Linked DNA regions of Caenorhabditis elegans. The protein of the gene in region 2 interacts with the protein of the main gene of each other region in a pairwise test. Each region holds a gene or a part of one and is shown on either strand. Other genes may lie near its edges.

The links. The genes of interacting proteins can lie anywhere in the genome.
Region 1: the proteins of acly-2 (region 2) and mpz-3 interact in a two-hybrid assay, tested with the Caenorhabditis elegans proteins (one large-scale study listed by BioGRID).

What each region holds. Positions count from the first base shown.
Region 1 is NC_003280.10:6,562,509-6,569,662, forward strand, and holds mpz-3 (PDZ domain-containing protein), read right to left. Parts: upstream 2,889-7,154; 5' UTR 2,843-2,888; intron 2,813-2,842; exon of another isoform or gene 2,740-2,812; intron 2,646-2,739; coding exon 2,547-2,645; intron 2,364-2,546; coding exon 2,283-2,363; intron 2,234-2,282; coding exon 2,039-2,233; intron 1,995-2,038; coding exon 1,860-1,994; intron 1,811-1,859; coding exon 1,610-1,810; intron 1,542-1,609; coding exon 1,326-1,541; 3' UTR 1,286-1,325; downstream 1-1,285. Other genes in the region: F18C5.5 (Vegetative cell wall protein gp1-like), read right to left, coding at 3,036-3,159, 3,209-3,652, 3,694-3,760, 4,120-4,153; dbd-6 (DB domain-containing protein), read left to right, coding at 4,626-4,666, 4,898-5,015, 5,059-5,162, 5,206-5,362; sra-27 (Serpentine receptor class alpha-27), read left to right, coding at 6,506-6,769, 6,821-6,966, 7,054-7,129.
Region 2 is NC_003283.11:13,112,955-13,120,108, forward strand, and holds the start of acly-2 (ATP-citrate synthase), read left to right. Parts: upstream 1-3,533; 5' UTR 3,534-3,553; coding exon 3,554-3,592; intron 3,593-3,640; coding exon 3,641-4,042; intron 4,043-4,086; coding exon 4,087-5,013; intron 5,014-5,059; coding exon 5,060-6,316; intron 6,317-6,361; coding exon 6,362-6,661; intron 6,662-6,711; coding exon 6,712-7,086; 3' UTR 7,087-7,154.

The DNA of each region.
Region 1 (7,154 bases), on a different chromosome or scaffold from region 2:
AGAGATAGATGCAGACAATGGGTCAATCCAATGCAGACGAATGGGTGCTAAAGGGCAGAAAGAAATGGGAGAACGGATTGGAGAAAGGGGGTTATTGAGTCATGGAATGATTAAAGTAGGTTGACGGTTGTTGGTTTCGAAATTGTTGTTCTACTGAAGAATTATGAAACAGATGTTCTAGAATTTTCACGAAAAAGAAAACAATTGTGTAGAAGTGAATAAACATGTTTTTAAAATATGAATTGGCATTCTCAATGCCAAAAAATACCAAGATGCAATCAAACCATGTGTGGTTCGGTAAGAAAATTTCATCTTGCCTATAGGTATTTTGAGGTTGCCTACGCTTGCCTACTAGAGTGAACGCGAATCTTTTTTATATCGGAATTTAATTTCAAGCATGTTCCTTACTTTAGTTCGCAGCTAAATTTAGAAAATAGGCAATGGGCATGAATGTATGTCACAGGCGCCTAAAAGCCGTGCCTGTCTACCGTTGAAGTCATAAATCCTTCATAAATCCTAGTAAACTCTGTGTTACAGCTGATAGTACGGTATTCTTTATTTAAACTTAGATCTAGTTGCTAAGTTTAGTTGGATGTATTGAAATGGAGGGTTTTTTCTCAGTCTCTGGAACTGTGAAGCTTTGCTAAAAACTAATGATTCAAAATGCTAGCAATTCAAAATTGAAATCTAAATTAATGGGATTTCCAAACAAGTGAACGTAAACTAATGAGAGAGTATATTGAATGACTAGGTTAAAATGGCCTATATCCCTCCGAATCAAGTGAAAATGAGAGCCAGTATGCATCCAGAAATGACAGATACACACTCTCATCCATTGCCTTTTTCCAATTCTCAGTCATATTTTGGCGAGTGAGAGCGGCGGGCGGACACGGACACGGACAACCAGACGCACAGAGTCGGTACCAAGCAGCACCGGCCGTCTCGTACGTCTCTCTGTCCGTGCACAGTGAGAGACAGGAAGAAAAACTAGTGGAAATAGTGAGTAGGACATAGAGACGCAGACGTTTGCTAGATGAACATTTGCAACTCTGTGAGACAACTAGGAGCAAGAAAAAACGGACGATGATGTGAGACTAGAAATGTTTCAAATAATGTGTAAAAGCTGTAGGTTTTAGATTCATGAGGGTTTCGAGGAGAAACCAATCTGGCATTCAACAATAAATAGAATTAGGCCTGCCTTTTTCAAATCACAGGTTGAAGGACCGTAAATATTTGTGTCTCTAGGCATAGGTTAGGGATGGATAGAACGGTAAACAACCAAACAAACACTTTTTGAAAACTTTATTTCGAACACTTTTCTCAAGTTAAGATCCCACACGTTTTGGAGTCATTTTCAGGGGCTTCGGAGACGGAATGTACGGGATGCGAACTTCTGGGGCAGGATCCGATGGCAAGGTGGCTGGAACTGGAGCAGGGGCTGATGCGGCGGTTGTTTTGATGATGCATGGAGGATTCTTGCACGGTTTCTTGTAGAAATCTTTGTTTGCCTTCATAATCTCCAAAACATCAGGAGGAAGAAGCTGCAAAGAAGAAAATAAAAACATGTTTTGGTAAATGAAATGATAAGAGGAAATGGGTTCAAACTGACCACATCAAACTGCTTGTTGGCTTTTCCTTGGGGTGGTTTTGGAGGAGGAAGCATCACTGAATTTCCAGATTTCTTCACTCCAGCAGGTGTGCTCTGTGCACCATCGGGAGGCGGTGGAGCAGGACCAAGTGGATCAGTAGTTGTGGATCTTTCCAATGTAAGACGGACCGTTTTTGTGTTGTTGACACTCGCGTAGAGAAGCTGAAAGTAAGTTAATTACTAAAATAAAATAAGAAAAATACTACAATACCTTTCTAGCAGAGTCACGATCAAGAACATAAATGTCATTAACTTTAACAAGAATATCTCCATCCTTGACATAGTGACACGCATTGGAAGCCGATTGAACCATTGAAATAGTCACAGTTTTTGGATCAACTGCCATCTGTAAATCATCCATGAAAGTATAAATTGTCCCTGATTACTAACTCTATGAATGATAATCCCTGTTGCAGCACCTCCACGATAAGTGAAAGTCAACTCAACCATTTGAGTATTTGGACGACGTGGTGGCATTGGTTTTTCAGTGACAAGGCAATGATCGTCTCGCATGAATTCAATTGTCACTTTTCCGGGAAGTTTTGCACTAATTGCACGGATAAAGTCAGCAGTTGTCTTGATGTTCTGGAAATGTTTGATTAGTTGAAACGGAAAATCTTAAAATATTCCTTACAGTTTCTCCATTGACATTCAGAATCTCATCACCAGCAAATAGAACACCCATCAGTTGGCTACTCACATCCACATATGTAATCTGCAATGTGATTATTCAAGATCTCTTCGATTTTTGAATTGAAAATGAGTCTTTTTACAGCCTCGAAGGAAATTGCAACCGGACTTCTTATTTATTAAAGAGTGTTCTACTGTTCTACACATCAGGGCTTTTGAAGTTTTATTCGGCTCTCGACGCGAGCCCTGTGTTGGATTCTTTATTTACCTTTCCATTGACCACATCACATGCTACAACCACATTTTTCCGTTCGAATTGTACTTCTTCTTTTCCTTTTACATGAAAACTATTGTTGTTGGTTGCCATCTGTAAATAGTACGTGTCTATCTCACAGCAACCCACTCTCGCGTCTCCTGTAACTAGTCGAGCGTCTATGCCTTTGGACCCAGCGCACTCGCTGGCCTCCTTAGCTCAGTTGGTAGAGCGTGAGACTTTTAATCTTAAGGTCAGGGGTTCGAGTCCCCTAGGTGGCTTGATTTTTTGCAGTCTGAATATTAACTTACCCCGAATAGATTGATGCGAAGATGAAAGCAACTGTCGACAAGGAAATATTTGAAACTGATTCAGTTTCTCTTTTCACTTTTTATTTTCTGATTTTTTTCTGTGTAAAACGAATTCAAACGATGTCACGCGGGTATATTTATTAAATTAATTAAATTATTTATTATTAATTAAAATTATTATATTTTGATGAGATCAATGGAATGGAACAATCCAATCAGCGTTGTCTTCTGCTTTTGTCACTTTCTTTTCACTTCCTCTTACAAACTTTGAAAGTCTTGAACGAATTGTATTCAGATCTTTGCTGTATGTTGGGGCGCTGAAATTAATTAATATTAGATTATTTTCTCCTGATTTGAGTAATTCACCTATGAGCTCTAGCTTCGGACGTTGTGTCATTATCAGATTCTTCAGTTTGAACAGTTTCCATAGCTTTTTCAGCTGGTTTCATAGTTGTAGTTGTGATTCCAAGAAGACGTTGGAAACTTGGTGGCATTGTCAATGCAGGCATTGTTGGCATTCCAGGAATTGGAGTGAAAGTTGGGAAAGTATGTGGAGCAAGAGTTGGAAGAGTTGGAAGGCCTTCTGCAGACAGGACTGGTACAGGTACTGGAATGAATTGTGGAAGTGGAAGAAGTGGTGGAAGAAGTGGAAGTGTCATTGGAAGTGGTTTAGCTGGAGCTCTTTTCACTGAACGATTAGCTTTTTGAGCTGGAAGTGTAACAACTGCTGGAGCACGTCGGATTCCTGTAGAAGCTGGACGAAGAGATTTAGCAAAAGGAGCATATGCCGATAATGATGGGAGGGGTGATCTGAAGAATAGATTAAAGAAAAAATGGAATAAATGTTAAACCTTCGAACATCTCCTCTCGGTCTTAAAGCACTTGCTCTCGGTACAACTTCATAACATGCAACGAATCCTGAAATGTTGAAATTAATTGAATTTTGAAGTCAAATATATTGATCAACTGAAAATTATATAGAAGCAATTTTTCTGGACTGGTTTTTTTTGCGATTTCGTGCAAGACGAAGAAAATATGAGAATCGAAATTTGGTTATTTATAGAACGTTTCAATTTATTGACGTACAAGCAGAATTCATATTGGGTAAAATTGTTATGACTAAGAAGTTTTGGATATGTCAAATAAATTAGTTATGTATTTTTCTTAATATTTTTTAAAACAAATTTGAACATATTTTAACCCAATTAGATAAATATTTCCTTTACCATTTAGAGCTAAATTTAGGGATAAATCAACGAAACAATCGAAAAACTAACCGATGACACAAACAGCTAACAGAAGAAGCTTCATTGTTGATTCTTTCCACAAAAATGAGAAGACGAAAAAGATAGAATAAGCCTCGAAGGCGTCGCTTCTTATCACTTTTCTTCCTACGATTTCTCGTTTTGCCCTTATCAATTAGCCATCATTTTGTGGAAATCTCAATGAAAATTCCCGTTGAAAATGAAAAAAGACAATGGATATCCACCACTTGTACACTGTCTTCAATAAGATGAAAGTTCAGCTAACATTAGTTTTTACAAACAGGGATATATTGGATTATCGTGATATTGAACTTGCTAGATTTTTATTTAATTCTATGTTGTTCAGAACATTAGTGTTCGCTGTCAATTTTTAACATATACTTTGTAAAGTATCCCACTTGTGACATGGTTTTACAACAATGCTATGCAAATTTGAGGACACTCAAATAATGGGCGGGACATAGATGATACTCGAGGTGGTACTGTTATAATCGTACCATTTTTATTTTCGCAGTACAATGCGAACGTGCGTCTTCTTTTTCTGTCTACTATTCGTTATGTAAGTTTATATGAAAAAAGTTTTATTTTAAATTAAAACTTTGACACAATAAAAAGTTTCCGAAGCATCTAAAACATCTAGTGGAATCTAGATCATCTAGTTCAAAAGATTCTCCAATTGAAAAATTTGGCTGAGCTACAGAAATCGTCAAGGGAAAAATTTACAAAACTTTTTGAAATTATCAATCCAATTCTTCAAAATATCCCTTTGTATCATTACAATATATCTCAGATGCCTTGCAAGACGAGATGCCAATCAGAAGCTGAAGGCATGCTGTGCTCGACAGAAAACCGCTGACAAAATGTGCAAAAAGAGGTTCTGTGATTTTGAAGCCATTCACCAAGGAAATGTAAGAATCAGTATTTCAATTCAAAAATGTAATATATATTTAGATGCTTCACTATTTGAACACATGTGGTCCAAAAAATCAGACTGTGCAGTTGATGTGGGATTGTGCATCTTCAAGAGCCGATCATACAGAGTGTTGCAAGAAAAAGTATTCACTTTATTTAATGTAGATATTTATTTTTTTATTTCAGTAACGTTCTTCCGGCATGTCTTCCATACTGTGCAGCACAAGGAACTGTACCGAATGAGCAAGTGACACATGTATTCTGTATGCAAAACTTCAACAATATCCGCGAATGTTTCCGTTCTCACCTTGAAAAGAGACCTAATATTTTTGGAGATAATTGATTAGTGCGGGAATTATGTTATTTGTGAAGATTATTTTGATATTTATTGATAAAAACAAACTGTAGTATTTTTTCTGGGAGTCGTCTGTGCAATACTAATTTTTGACGCAATATTTTATTCAGAATTTTAGTTGGAAATTCGGACACAAATTAGAAGCTGCTAGAACTAAAGTAGAATTTTACAAAAACTCATTTAGTTTTTAGTTTTCTAAAATTGGATACTCGCTTAGCTTTTGTAGCTATTAGCAAAATAAGTTGACATTTCAAACTGAATATGTTTTTACCAACGTTTCATAATATTCTCTGACCTTCAAAAAACATGTGTTTTATATTCCGATTGCTGCTGTAATTTAATTCCAAAAACCGATAAAAACATTCTGACCTGACAAGCACCACCCCTTTAAATCTGATTTGGTTTTTTGCTATAGTTGCAGAGCCACTAATTTTTAAAATCCGACGAATTTTTTTTTTCAATTTTTCACTATAATTTTCAACTGTATTTTCGAACCTTTTATAAGGTTTTTGATACCAAAATGCTTAATTTTAAATTCAAATATATTTAAAAGTTATAATTCAAACTAGGCACATACATACAACCTGATCAGTTTTTGGATTAGAGTTAACTTTTAAAAAGTTTGCCGGCTTATAACGGTTAGTTGAAACTTGTTAGCTTGAATTATTAGTTTTTGAGTAATTTTATTTTCAAATGACATTAAAAATCACCAAAGACCAAAAGTATTTCGACGTGCACTGAATCTATCTAACACTACTCAGAAATTAAAGTATTAATACAATGTTTAACAAACTACCAATTTATTCCCCAACTCTTAAAATGTTCTACTTATAACAACCTATACTTATTGTTTACACCCACCAATTTGCCAATTTTTATTTTGAAAACGAGAACTGATTTTGTTTTTGAAACCTATACATTTCATTAAACATGTTTCTAAGAGTTTGGTCAAATTGATCTTTTTCTCATGGTATCTGGCTTCTAGTTTGGGAAATAATGCAATAAGCAATATTGCCAAACACAAATTCCGGAAGGCTTCAGTTTTCATCAACACAACTCTTAGTATTATTATTATTTGTTCCCCCTGCCAAATCTACAACTGCACCAAAACTTGATATATTTGCAGTTAAAATGGCAATGTACACTAATCAAACAGCAGAAGAACTTGAAACATGGAGATGTACATCAGACGGAATTTTCAAATCACAAAACTCTATCTGGATGAAAATCAACTTTGTATTCGTATTTATTTTGATTTTTCTAACATTTTATCTGAGTTTCAAGGCAGCTAGAGTTCTCAAAAATCATAATGTTTATTCAAAAGGTTCACAGATTCTTCTTATGATTACGTTATTAAATGCAAACTTGAATCAATTAATATTCCTTGAAATTAGGGTAAAATTTTGATCTCATTTTGATCTCAGAAAACGTTGAATTTTTTTTTAGATAAGACATTTGGTTCACATATTTATAAATTCAGAGGATCCGTGTAAAATTGAATTTCACAGTCCTGAATGTACATATGATCAAACTATTTACGCATTTACTAGTGTTATGTCAACTGGGCTTCTTTCGGCTTTAACTTTCGATCGGTAATATTTATTCCTTCATTTTAATGTTTTTTCAAAGAAAGTGAATCTTTTTTCTCTCTTGCATTAAAAAAACAAAAATGTTTCCAGATTTTTTGCTCTATATGCATCTACGGTCTATGTTCGAAATTCTAAGGATTCAGCCTATATGCTTATCACGGTTTCGGTAAGTGAAGACATATTTTATTTCA
Region 2 (7,154 bases):
GTGGTGAAGAAGGAGAAGTTCGTGTGAGGCAGAGAAGAAGATGTTTTGTAAAAGTAGAAAAGAGTCAAAGAAGCAACAGAATATTGATGACAGCGTTTTTTGAACTACAAGCAAAGTTCGTTGAAAAAAGGATCCCCTTGACTCTAAAGTAGACTCTCATCAAAAGATCAAAATGTCATGATTTTCAAGGGATTAGTTTATACATAGTTGTCACTTTCAATAGTACAGTAATCCCTTTATGAGATTTTACTGGAAGAAATTTTGAAAGAGAAAATGGGAAGGCCACCCAGAAAAGTATTCGAAAAGGCTTCTCCTTTTCTCCCGCGCTAAACGGATTTTCATCTGTGGTTGTGCATGGTGCACATTTTGGAAGAGATAGATGGGCGGAAAGGACCGGGAAAATTAGAAAGTGAAAGGAAAATGAGAGAAGGTTCTAGATATACTCAGTGTTTCCTGCAGATTTCCTAGTCATATTTATCATGTTCAAGTTTTAGGACGAGGGAAGCTGTGAATGAGTAGCACAAAAAATCAAAAATAAGATTTTTGAATTCAGATTTCAAGCCGAGATGGTACACTCTGACATCACATGAATTTCGTAAGTAGCATGAATCGTAGAAAGATTTTGAATTATGAATCCCATTTGTAGTTGTTTAGAAAAAACATTTAGTACTGTCCGTACTCTGCAGGGTCACTCAACAAATGGTGAAGAAACTTCAGTGGGGGGTTTTGTCAAAATATGCTCAAAAGGAGTCAAAAAGTTGAAATACTTACAGAAAACAATATTTTCATTCAAAATACCAATTTTGGCAAATTGCCAATTTTTTAATGAATTCTTTGTAAAAAAAAATTGAAAAAATAGGCTGGATGCAAGACTGAAAATTAAAGTACCTCTCAAAACTCAGAAATGACAAAAAAAAACAAATATATAACTAGAAATTCTGCCCAATAAATATAGAAGTGAATAAATTAAATGCATTAGTTACGGAAGTATAATATTGGCCTTGGAAATGGCATCTAAACAGTTCCGGAAACTTGATCCGCATATTTTCATAAGTGTCCTCACAAATCTCGAAAAACAAAACAATAGAAAGGAAAATTGAATGGCAGAAGAGAAGGGAGGGAAAGAATCTCAAACATAAATATTCAATCGTGTTAATGTGTCAAAGGATGACCAAATGGCTAGAGATGGTGGAGAAGGAGAAGTGTGTTATTGTAGAAGGGCAATTAGTGCACACAGAAGGAAAATGAATTGAGGAGGAGGTGATGGAAAAGAGAACACATGGCGCAAAAAGCAATGAGCATGTGGGATTAGGTGGGAAGAATGCGCGGAAATGTATCGAACACGGTAAACAATAAGAAAAAAGAAGTGACGTTGAAGGAAATATTTGGAGAAAATGAATACAGAAGTTTTCATAGCAAAAAAGACTTTTTCGAGATTTTTTACTTGGCAAAATAATACAGTATTGTGCATTCGAGGAAAAACTTGGTACTAGGTAATACGTTCTATTTCCGAGCAACTTAGAATCTTCAATTTAATACATTCCAATTTTTTCACAAATTAATTGATGCAATTAACAGATTAGTTAACTTTGCGACAACCCATCACTACGTAAGACAGAAATTTTTACCTTTGCAAAAATTCATGTAAAATATTTTATCTAAAAATCCTAAAACACACGTTGCCGTAAAGTGTTAAACCTATTCTTTGAATATATGCACAAAAGCGCATCGGTGGTGGGCTTCGGATTAGATGAATTAGGTTTAATTTCATTTTCACAGACCTTCCACCCGGAAGCCCTAATTAAATTGGTAGGTTTAGATATTACTTATTTGTATATCAAACCTAAAATATATGCTAATACATCATAGAAGTTTGAGAGGTCTTGAAGTTAGAAGTACTTTGACTTTCAAGTAAATGGCGTTCGAATAGAGAGCTAGACTTCTTCTTCTTCTTCTTTAGCTCAAATTACAATGCCTACTTATTCCTCATCTTTAGGACCGCCCGTATGCACATTCACATAGAAATAAATACGTGTGCTCAAGGACATGAGCAAAACAGGAAACTTATGCGAGTAAGTATTCGGAGAGCCCGCGGAGGAGCAAACCAAAACGATTCCGCAACTATGAAATGTTTTGAGGATTAGTGGATTAGTAAAACAAAAGTTAGAATTGTTTTGTTTCTGTTCTTTTTTGTTTATTCGAAATGAAAATGTGGGAAACAAGTACATGACCCCGGTGACAAGAAATTCGTAGTATTGGAACTCCAATTATTATATATCCATTTCGTATTGTACAAGTTATGTATAAAGAGTTTCTCCTCGTTTCGGCTTCGAGACATTACAAAAAGAAAAGAGGACATATGTCCCTAGACATTGGATTTCTGGAAAGTCTGCAATTTTCAGCAGTATTTCCCCTTTATCGCCCATTCGATAATTAATCCTGGATTTTTAAACATCAAATTAACAAACTTGTAAAATTTGGCACTTGAAGAAACCACTATGACTGAGATCGTGGCGAGACCCACTAGAAACAGTCAGTTTGCGCCTTTAAACTGCCTAGCCAAAGTTGCGCGAAATTATGATGTATTTTTGATGCATGTGCGTAAATATTTGGGGTCTAAAATGTATTAGCTAGATGTAGGTTGATTTTCAGTTTTTTCAAATTGTAGTTTCACTAAGGGAAGCTTCTTTCAAGCTTCAGAAGGAGACCCGAAGAACTCGGGGGATGTCCAATTGGGGGGATTACCAACTCGGGGGATTTGCCCCGCCCACAGAACCGTGGCTTGCAATACGCCCATTTCTGCAACTGCCGCACGGTTTTAAAATCATTTTTTCTTGTTAATCCTCGCTCTATTGATAAAAATACAGTTTTAAAACCGTGCGGCAGTTGCAGAAATGGGCGTATTGCAAGCCACGGTTCTGTGGGCGGGGCCAATCCCCCGAGTTAGTAATCCCCCCAGTTGGACATCCCCCGAGTTCTTCGGGTCTCTTTAGAAGCTTACTGTATTGGATACCGTAGTTTCTGCAATATGTCGTAATGGTGACTGCAGAGCCGTCGGAAAATGTTTTAAAACTTTTTTTTTTTTTGAAATTTCAGAATATAGAAAACCTTAAATTAAAACAATCTTCCCTCGAAGCTATTCTATAGATTTTCTTCTTTATTTATTTAATAATTTCTGAAATCAAGTTTCAAATAATTTCTCAACCGTTTTTTCCCTATTCGGCTTGTCAACAAGTGAAATATATTGAATTTGAATAAAAATGCAAATGTCAACGCCAGAGAGTGTTCTTTTTCTCTACTTTTTCGATAAATCTTTTTCTCATATGTATAAATTCGGTTTGATCTCGATCTCGAGCGCCTCCGCCGCTACAAGGAGCGCACTTTTTCTGTTTTGTAGGCCACCGCGTGTCGTCTTGCATCACAATCCTCCTTTTTTCGAATGATTTCTATCTGTTTCTCTTCTATTTCATCCGTCTGTTACGCAATATATCCGTGACTTTGCCGGTTTTCCATTAAACACTGTCCATTTTCAGGTTATTACACCCATACTGATATGTCGGCTAAAGCTGTCAGCGAACTCTCAGGAAAAGAGGTATGAAGCTTTATTTTTTATTCGATTGATTTACAAAAACAATTGCAGGTTTTGTACAAATATTTCGAGTCGACCGGAATTGTCAGTGCCCCACATGCTTTTCACGTGAAGGCCGGAGATAAGTTTTCTGACGTCGCCGCCAAGTACGAATGGCTTGCACAAGACAACAAGGGTGTTATCAAGCCGGATCAGCTTATCAAGCGTCGTGGAAAGCTCGGTCTTGTTAAGATTGGGTCTCCTAAAGAGCTGGAAGCTTGGTTCGGCAAGACGGCAAACAGTTATGTGAAAGTTGGCCAAACGGAGGGAAGATTGCACACGTTTATTGTTGAGCCGTTTTGTGCTCATACTGAAAATGAAGAAATGTACATCGCGATCTACAGCGAACGCTGTCGCGATGTTATTATGTTCTATGAGCAGGGAGGAGTTGATATTGGAGACGTCGAGGAAAAGGTTTGTAGTAGGTAATTATTTCTCAAAAATTTTCATATTTTCAGGCCAGATCAGTCCATGTTCCAGTTCAACTTGATGACAATGCTATGTCAATTTCGGAGAGAGAACTAGGCGTGCTTCTCGGGCCATGTAGTGATAAGGATGATATCCGAAAGTTCGTTCGCAGCTTATACGAAGCCTACAAAGCTCTTCACTTCACATACTTGGAGATCAATCCGTTTGTTCTCACCAATGGCAAGATTCATATTTTGGACTTGGCTGCAAAGCTTGACGAGACTGCCAGTTTTCTGTGCTCGGATAAATGGAGCGGTCGGAATGCTTCTGCACGAATCGCTCCGACTCTGGAGTTCCCGGCACCATTTGGACGTGATTTGACTTCGGAGGAGCAATACATTTCTGATATGGATGCGAAGACTGGAGCATCTTTGAAGCTGACTATTCTTAACAGAAAGGGACGCGTATGGACCATGGTGGCTGGTGGAGGAGCATCAGTTGTGTTTACCGATACTGTTTGTGATCTTGGAGGATCATCTGAACTTGCTAACTACGGAGAATATTCTGGAGATCCATCGGAAGCTCAAACTTACGAGTACGCCAAGACTATTTTATCCGTCATGACAGAAGGTGCTCCACGTCCTGATGGTAAGGTTCTCATCATTGGTGGATCCATTGCTAACTTCACAAATGTCGCAAAAACATTCGGAGGAATCGTTCGTGCGTTCGAAACTTTCATTGATAAGCTCAAGGAACATAATGTTTCCATCTACGTTCGACGTGGTGGTCCGAACTACCAAGAAGGACTGCGACGTGTCAAGGATGCTGCCACAAAACTAGAAATTCCGATTTATGTATTTGGACCGGAAACTCATATGACTGCAATTGTCGGAGCTGCGCTCGGATTGAAGCCAATGCCAACAGTCCCGACGGCTCCTCAAACCACCGGACAATTTTTGTTGAGCCCAGAAAGAAACGTATGTTCTAATTATTCATAGGAAATAATTTAGTTTTTGTTTTCAGACTGCAGGCACGGAACGTCCTCCAGCATCTCCAGCTCCGAACACTTCCACAATCGAACATCCTCTCGCCAAGAGGCACCCTCTTCATCAAAGCTTGTTCGAGAACGACACAAAGGCTATCATTTGGGGACAACAACACAAAGCTATTCAAGGAATGCTTGATTTCGATTTTGTTTGCAGAAGACACTCCCCATCAGTCGTCGCTTCAACCTATCCGTTCACTGGAGACAACAAGCAAAAGTATTATTTCGGACAGAAAGAAATCCTTATTCCTGCTTACAAATCTATGGCAAAAGCTTTCGCGAGTCATCCAGATGCCACTGTCATGGTCACGTTCGCGTCGATGCGTTCAGTTTTTGAAACTGTTCTGGAGGCTCTTCAATTTACACAAATCAAGGTTATCGCAATTATTGCCGAAGGAGTTCCAGAAAATCAAACAAGAAAATTGCTTAAAATTGCTGAAGATAAGGGTGTTACCTTAATTGGTCCTGCTACTGTTGGAGGAATCAAGCCAGGATGTTTCAAGATCGGAAATACCGGAGGAATGATGGATAATATTCTTGCTTCGAAACTTTATCGTCCTGGAAGTGTCGCTTACGTGTCCCGCTCAGGAGGAATGTCGAACGAGCTCAACAACATTATTTCACAGAATACCAACGGAGTTTACGAAGGAATTGCTATCGGAGGGGATCGCTATCCAGGAAGTACGTACACCGACCACGTTATGAGATATCAACACGATGATCGTGTTAAGATGATTGTCCTCCTTGGAGAAGTTGGAGGTATAGAAGAATATCGTATTGTCGAGCTATTGAAAGAAAAGAAAATCACGAAGCCTCTCATTGCTTGGTGCATTGGAACATGTGCAGATCACATTACTTCAGAAGTTCAGTTCGGTCATGCTGGAGCTTCTGCAAATGGACAAGGAGAAACTGCTGCATGCAAAAATACAGCTCTTCGTACTGCTGGTGCTTTGGTTCCAGATTCGTTTGACGACCTCGGAAACAAGATTCGTCAGACTTATGAAGAATTGCTTCGACTTGAAATCATCGTTCCACAGCCGGAAGTTCCACCACCTGCAGTTCCAATGGACTATGCCTGGGCTCGGGAACTCGGGCTTATTCGCAAACCAGCTTCCTTCATGACCTCTATTTGTGACGAACGCGGAGAAGAATTGAACTATGCTGGCGTCCCAATCACCAAAGTCCTCGAGTCGGATATGGGAATCGGTGGAGTTCTAGGCTTGCTGTGGTTCCAGGTTCAAAAAAAAATCTAATTTGCCTTGTATATTTTCCTTTTTCAGAAACGTCTCCCTCCACATGCCAACAAGTTCATAGAGATCTGTTTGATGCTCACTGCTGATCACGGACCAGCAGTTTCTGGTGCTCATAATACTATCGTCTGTGCTCGCGCTGGAAAGGACTTGATATCTTCTCTCACATCTGGACTCCTCACCATCGGTGACCGATTCGGAGGTGCTCTCGATGGAGCTGCTCGTCAATTCTCTGAGGCTTTCGATCAAGGGTGGTCTCCAAATCAGTTTGTCGGAGAAATGCGCAAACGTGGAACTCATATTATGGGTATCGGCCATCGTGTCAAGAGCGTGAGTTTCAAGAAAATACAGTTTTTTGATAATTGATGAAATAATTTCAGATCAATAACCCTGATAAGCGTGTCGAGATTCTCAAGAGATTTGCTTTGAACAAAAAGGAGTTTGCTCAAGAAACACCACTTCTCGATTATGCTCTGGAAGTTGAGAAGATCACCACTGCCAAGAAGCCAAACCTCATTCTAAATGTTGATGGAGCTATTGCCATCATCTTCGTCGACATCTTGCGCAACAGTGGGATGTTCACAACAGCTGAAGCTCAAGAAGTTATCGAGATAGGTGCTCTGAATGGAATGTTTGTGCTCGGTCGCTCCATCGGATTCATCGGACATTATTTGGACCAATCACGACTCAAACAAGGACTCTACCGTCATCCTTGGGATGACATTTCATACATCATGCCAGAGAGAAACTTGTGAATTTGATTATCACTTCCCCCACTTCACCCTATTCACTTACCTTTTTAATGCATCCCAAAATTGCCAAA